2 linked regions of the Arabidopsis thaliana genome follow. The protein of the gene in region 2 interacts with the protein of the main gene of each other region in a pairwise test. Each region holds a gene or a part of one and is shown on either strand. Other genes may lie near its edges. The genes, in order: HIPP27 and UBP16.

Region 1 (3,514 bases), on a different chromosome or scaffold from region 2:
GAATCGATTGTTAAGAGAGTGAACAAGATCCTAGTACGGGCGAAATTGCCTACAACTCCGCCAGAGAGCATGACCGTCAGCATGTTCAAGTCCATAATGGCGGTGAGTTTTTAGTGAATTCCAGATGTAAATGGAAAAAAGTTGGTAACTTTTGAGCAACTTTTGAGCTAAGAAAAATTCATTGAAATGTGTGTGGTGATGCAGGTGGACAAGAAAGTGGCAGATGGACTGCTGAGGCTGATTCTTCTCAAAGGCCCGCTGGGAAACTGCGTGTTCACTGGAGATTATGATCGGGAAGCGTTGGATGCCACGCTTCGTGCATTCTCCAAATCCTGAGCATTTCATATTTGAGATAATTTTGGTGTTGTTTTGTTCACATACGCATATGTACTCATATATACTGACCTTGTAACTAGCTTTGTGGAATGTGATAATAATGAGATATTAAAAGAAGAAATACCCCGTTATTGGACACCATATGCGTTTCAATTTGGATACTTGCCTCTTGAAATTGTTACTTGAGCTTTATGACAAAGCACGTTTCTGTTATGTAAACACAGTGAAGAGGCAAAAACAGAGGGGAAAAAGAAGAAACAGAGGAAGGGCTGAAATGCGGGATGCATTGTCCCGTTTAGAGAGGAAACAACTTCTGGTGCATGTATTTCTCCAAAGACTGTGTGTGTTTCTTACTATTTATTTAAATGAAGTCATGTAATCCAGAGGAGTAGCAAATACGCAAATCAAGATGCCGGTGGGAGAAGCTATCGAGAAAGTGGCGAGTCTCGTCTGCTACTGCCTTGTCGTCATCTGTTACACACTGCTTCTGATATACCCTGTTTGGGTCATGGCTTGCCTAATCAGTCTATTCATGGCTTCTCACCTTTCTCTCTTCTTTCTCTTGTTACTCCTCCATCTACTCACCTCTCTCTTCTTCTGTTTCTCCCTTTTAATTTCAGTGGAATTTAGATGATGACTCGTACAAACATTCAGACTGTCTTTTCAGAATTACTTAAAAAGGGTATCTAAAAACACTTACATAGTCACATGTGTAGTTAACTATATATATGAATTGATCACATGATGGTACAAGCGTTGGGATTGTCATCGCTGAAAGCAGAAGTGTATTTGACCTCGAAGGAGCTGGCACGAGCAAGCGGGGCCACTAGAGGGTCGGCGAGTGCATTACGAACGTAACCAGGAGGGGCCTTCTTGTCGTAGGCACCAGGTGCGTAAGGGTGTGGCACCACCTCGTAAGGTACGTAAGGCCACAGCTCCGCCTTCTTCCCTGTCCGATGCATCACCCGATGCACCACCTTGCTCGGTTGGACGAATCCCTCGACCGTGAGTTTGCTCTGTTTAGGATCGACGGTGACTTTGCTGACTCCTTTCATGCCTTCCACCGACTTCCTCACCCGTCTCTCGCACCCTTCGCAGTCCATCTTCACTTTTATCTCCACCTTCTTTTTTCATCATACGAAACACAGTCTCGTTACACAACAGTTACAAGCAAAAAAAAGGAATCAGATATATCAGAGAAGGGAGAAGAGTGCCTGGAACTGCTTAAGCTTTTTGTGATGTTTCCGGTAACAAATGTCTCGGAAGCCCATTAGCGCCGATTACGACAGTTTTTTTTCCTTCTCTGGTAACTTCAAATTGTCTTATTAAAGCATACATAAAGTAAAGCCAACATGCCCACTTTGCACGTGGACGAGTGAAGGAATGGTATGTCACTGCTGAGATAGCCAGCTGTTTTCAATTTAGAGCTCTCTAGTATTTCGGATATGGTTTGACGTGAAACCCTCTCTGCCGAGTGGCGGGTATCTTCAGATATTACATTTTCTTAACAAGGATGACTAAATCAATGATCAGCCAAACACCAACTATTAAAGTTTCCTATCCAAAAAAATTTTAAAAACCAGAAAAGTTCAAAAAAAGTTGAGCAGCATATTATTGTTTTTTTTCTTATGAGACTGAGTATCAATCAGTTCATATCCAATTCTCGACAAAACACAAAAAAGGAAAGGAAGAGAGATAGGCTTGCAAACACATCTTTCTTTCTCTCTCTTAGTAGCATCTCTCTTACACTCCCTCTCTGCTCCTCTCTGATAGAGTCATGCTCTCAATTTGAGACACCAGTGAGGCATTGTTGCTAGCCCCCGCAGCTGGACCGGACCTTGAAGGCTCACGAGGCAATAAATACTTGTCCCAATCTCCTCGCCTCCTTAATGTTTCACCCTACAATCCCATCCACATTCTACCTTTAGTCTTTCTATGCCTTTTTTTATCTTTACACCTTTCCACTTTACTTCTTATCTTATATCCATCAATGAATGAGAGACAAGGATGCTCATCTTACATACCTGAATTTCCACGACTTCTGAACTTCTCAGTGCTTCCAATATAGTCTGGATGTTATTGGTCAGTTCCGCAAGCTGCAAAAGTTGCAAAAATTTCAAAGAATTACTCTTTTTTTTACCACCAATACACTTACTAAACTAAGACTACTACTTCCAAGGTCACGTAAACAAACAAACACAACTAATATAAGTAACACCTTGATACAATAAGAAATACTTTCTGCAGTAGACATTGTAAAGTGATTAACGCATGTCAGCTTCAGAATAGAAGATGGAAAACCACTTACTCTCCTGAATGCTGCTATTACTCTAACAGGAACCCAACCTTCATCATTCATCTGATCCCGTAAATGTTCATCTCTGCTCAGGTTATCAGCGCTGCGTTTAAAAATTAACAAAGGATAAAATTTGTAATTCACACTTCTGATAGATGCATCTAATGGAGCATTGGGGTAACCCATAAACAAGTAGAAAAGTGCAAACACAACCAAATAAAACTGAAACGATTACCTGAAATAATATTCTACTTGTGTCAATATCTTATTGTACAAGATGGCATCAAAATTGCGAAAATACATGGGTTGAAGTGGGAAGGGTCCAACTAAACCCATCGGATCTGGAGATGGATGTGGCATAAAGACATGCTGTGCATAATCTGAAGATGTAACATAGCAGAATGAATGAATTAGAAATGGGAATGTATGAGAGAGCATAAGATGAGCAAAACCATACCTGGGTAGATAATGGGGCCACCATATGAACCTAATTGAGGCGCTGCCATATATTGCGCACTACTGGCAGGAAAAGATGGTGGCCCCATCAGCATCTGCGGTCTAATCATCCCAACACCCCTCTGCGGTTGCAAGTGCATGTCTCTCCCACTATAGTTACGGTGAGAAAAGCCGCTTTGGTTGCCATGCTCATAATTGCGCCTGTTTCCATGGTGAAGACCTTCCCCACGAGGGTAAGAGCTGCTGTTGCGATTCCTCTGAGAATTACGGAAATTCCCTGAACCAAAAGAGCCACCACCCCTTTGGCTGTGATTCTGATCTCTGGTGTTTAAAGGCGCAGCATTGGAGACGTTACTACTGGTACTGGAAGATGATGTGTTGTTATTCCGTCTAAAAGGTTTCCTCTGGCTATTATTAACAGCACTG
Region 2 (3,926 bases):
TAGAGGAGCCAGAGCCAAAGGAGAAATGCAGAGAGGAGTTACCAGGTCTACCAGATTTAGATTTAACACAAGAATCACTCACACGTTCGGCTGATCCAAGAGCCGTACCCCAAAAATCAGATGACTTCAGAGATGGGTCAGCTGATACTGGATGCCTATCCGTAACTAATGAGTGTAAGCTCCTTGATTGGCTCTGGTTCTGCCCAGCATCATCCTCAGGTTTATGTACACTTAATTTAGGCAGATTAGCGAGATTATCTACAGATTCAACCAAGTGCACAAATTTTGGAGACAACAGTTTGGATGGAGCATCTTCAATGGTGCTGAAACAGGTGTCTTCTGGCTCTACAGAGACATGAGCATCAAGTAGGGACTCTGATCTCTCGGATTCAGATGAACTGAAGCTCTCACAACGAGAAATCTCGTCGCCAGAGTCATTACGGGGGGAGGAGGAGAAGCCAGAAAACGAGGATCCAGATGTTTCAGCAACAGAAACAGCTTCTTCCTTATCTATAAGGTCATCTTTGTTATCTGCAATATCTCCATTCCCATCTTCAGGAGATCTGGCACGATTAGATAATAGTGATTCCCCGATTGGTATAGTAACTGGTTCTGGACCCACCAGTAAAGTTTCCTCAGGAGTATTTTGTCCATTTTCTTCTCCTAATCTCAAATCGGAATCACTCTCATCTTCACTATCATATACAATGGAAGCAGGATGACATTCATCTTTGTGACCTTGCCGCCAGTGAATGATTTGACATTTCCCGGAACTGGAAAAAAAATAACAAAAACGAAACAACTATCACTAAGATATGTAGGTAACGAAATTTCACATGCGCTAAGGGGAAAAGGTTGAAAATTTGATAGACATTATAGTACATTTCTTAAGCTATCTAATTGAAATAAATTCCTCAGCAGCACATAGTTAGTTACTCACAGATAAGCCATGAATCAAATACTAAACTTCCTCCCAAGCTAACTAATTACCCATAATTTTGTTAACATAGAAAAAGAAGTCAATTTTCTTAAATCTCTGATCCAGTATCGCTAAAGTTACAGAACTAACTTATATTCTTTGCCTACTAATCACTCCAATTCATCACGTCTCAGCAGAGAGTGCAGCAGATGCAATCATAACTCTAAGATCATACAACGTAATTTGGACATGGAGAAAGTGAGAGAATTTTTGCATACCAATATCGAACGGCTTTGCAGCGAGAGCAACGAGTCGTGGCAAGACAATAGCAAACAGGACAATGGAAGACATTAGAGACGGCAACAGAAGAGAACTCAACAGAGGCCTCTAGCTCAGCCCTGGCAGCCTCTTCAGAAGCATGAATAAGAAGTCTTCTAATCTCCTCCCTTCTTTGGGCAGCGACCCTCCATTTGTGACGAACAAAGAGACCGATCAAAGGTAAAACAAGAGAGACCACAAGGACTAGACTAGAAATCCCTAGATCCAAAACAAGGAGCATTTATCCTCCACCAGATGCACAAACAATTGGAAATAAATCTGAGCACCAACCATAGATTTCACCGGCGAATAAGCCGGGAACAGAGGTGACAGTGAGGATCAGTCCGGCGATTTAGCACATGCAGAGAGAGCGAGAGAGAGAAGCCAGGAATCGATGGAAGTTATAATTTTTTCGCTGGTGGGTAAGCTTCCAAAATGATGACCCAAGAAAATCCAAAGATGAGAAGGAATAAAGAAAACCCTAGAGAGCACAAGTTGGGTTTTCTATTGTTCTCTGGGAAAAAGTTGAAAAAATCTGGTGCTTCTGGTTTAGGGTTTCGAAAGAGGGCAAGAGTGGAGAGATTCTTCGGTAGAAGGACGAAGAAATTAGGAGGCAGTATATTACTTTTCTATACCAAGACGCTTTGCTTTTTCATTTTACCAGACCAGACAACCTTTTTTTTTTTTTGCTCTAACGTCATTTGGAAATCATATTTTTATTACCAGGAAGCCCTTCTTTTAAAAACAAAATAAGAATAATAGTTCAACGGAAATATGAATTTGCATGTTGACAATGATAAAAAGTTATGAATTAGTCAATTAAAAAAGTGTGTAAGTTATGTATTAGTCAATTAAAAAAGTGTGTATGATGGGATATTGTAGCTATCTATTATATATGTATATTTAGTGCCATTTTCGTGTCACACCATGTCTTCATTTTTATTTTTCTTTACCATGTGTTATACTTTTTTGTTATAAAAAGTTGATATATATATATTATCGCTTAACTTTTTTTAAGTAACTATAAAATGGGTATCATATATAACAAACATATATAAGTATTTTGCAATTTATGCGATATATAAAAATAAAATAAAATAAATCTACACGATTCTATATGTTATATTATAAAGATCACGCCATATTATTCTATCTATAAGAATACAACGTACGGGATTATATATGATAGACGATTGTATTTGCGGGACATTGAGATGTTTCCGAAAATAGTCATCAAATATCAAACCAGAATTTGATGTGAAAACACTAATTAAAACATATAATTGACAACTAGACTATATCATTTGTTAAGTTGAGCGTTGAAAGAAAATGAAAGAGTGTAGACTGTAGTATGTATGAGTTTCCCAAAGGATGGTGCTTGAATATTATTGGGAAGAGACTTTGGTTGGTTCGGTTGAATGAAGATTTTTACCTGCCATGTTGATAGAGAAAGGCAAATAAATGTAGGGGTCGATGTCTAACGTAAAGACTGGATCAACCAAGAGTCCTCCTCCTCGTCTTCACCAAAAAAAAAGAGTCCTCCTCGTGGAAACTTATTTCTTCTCCAGCCAAGATCTCATCTCATCTCTTCACTCTATGAAATATAAAGGAATCTTATGGTTTTTCTAAAAACTATAGTACGTCTATATACCAAAGGAAACAATATAAAATCAGTTAATCTGATAAATTTTGAGTAAATAATAAAGTTAACTTTGTACTTACCTATATCAAACTAATTCACAAAATAAAGTAATAATAACAAAGAATTTTTAGTAGATCCACAATATACACACACACTATGAGAAATCATAATAGAGAATTTTAATGATTTTGTCTAACTCATAGCAACAAGTCGCTTTGGCCGAGTGGTTAAGGCGTGTGCCTGCTAAGTACATGGGCTCTGCCCGCGAGAGTTCGAATCTCTCAGGCGACGTTTCTTTTGTTTTCGGCCATAAAGGAAAAAGCCCAATTAACACGTCTCGCTTATAAGCCCATAAAGCAAACAATGGGCTGTCTCTGTCTCACTCACACACGCGTTTTCCTACTTTTTGACTATTTTTATAACCGGCGGGTCTGACTTAATTAGGGTTTTCTTTAATAATCAGACACTCTCTCACTCGTTTCGTCAACATTGAACACAGACAAAACCGCGTCACAAAACAAAACTCGCTACAAATAAATACCTTTGTTTCCCTCTTCTTCTCCTTCACTCACAACATCTCAATTTCATTCTCTCTTCTCTCTCCAATTTCACAACAATGGGAGTCAAAAGTTTCGTTGAAGGTGGGATTGCCTCTGTAATCGCCGGTTGCTCTACTCACCCTCTCGATCTAATCAAGGTTCGTCTTCAGCTTCACGGTGAAGCACCTTCCACCACCACCGTCACTCTCCTCCGTCCAGCTCTCGCTTTCCCCAATTCTTCTCCTGCAGCTTTCCTGGAAACGACTTCTTCAGTCCCCAAAGTAGGACCGATCTCACTCGGAATCAACATAGTCAAATCGGAAGGCGCCGCCGCGTTATTCTCAGGAGTCTCCGCTACACTTCTCCGTCAGACGTTATATTCCACCACCAGGATGGGTCTATACGAAGTGCTTAAGAACAAATGGACTGATCCTGAGTCAGGGAAGTTGAATCTGAGTAGGAAGATCGGTGCAGGGCTAGTCGCTGGTGGAATCGGAGCCGCCGTTGG

The links.
Region 1: the proteins of UBP16 (region 2) and HIPP27 interact in a two-hybrid assay, tested with the Arabidopsis thaliana proteins (one study listed by BioGRID).

What each region holds. Positions count from the first base shown.
Region 1 is NC_003076.8:26,428,338-26,431,851, reverse strand, and holds HIPP27 (Heavy metal transport/detoxification superfamily protein), read right to left. Parts: upstream 1,651-3,514; 5' UTR 1,608-1,650; coding exon 1,551-1,607; exon of another isoform or gene 1,461-1,550; coding exon 1,074-1,460; 3' UTR 501-1,073; downstream 1-500. Other genes in the region: AT5G66120 (3-dehydroquinate synthase), read left to right, coding at 1-102, 205-336; LARP1b (winged-helix DNA-binding transcription factor family protein), read right to left, coding at 2,080-2,235, 2,361-2,432, 2,645-2,735, 2,868-3,012, 3,090-3,514. UniProt on the Arabidopsis thaliana protein: Heavy-metal-binding protein. Binds cadmium. May be involved in cadmium transport and play a role in cadmium detoxification.
Region 2 is NC_003075.7:12,683,051-12,686,976, forward strand, and holds the start of UBP16 (ubiquitin-specific protease 16), read right to left. Parts: upstream 1,927-3,926; 5' UTR 1,479-1,926; coding exon 1,198-1,478; intron 774-1,197; coding exon 1-773. Other genes in the region: DIC2 (dicarboxylate carrier 2), read left to right, coding at 3,496-3,926. UniProt on the Arabidopsis thaliana protein: Recognizes and hydrolyzes the peptide bond at the C-terminal Gly of ubiquitin. Involved in the processing of poly-ubiquitin precursors as well as that of ubiquitinated proteins.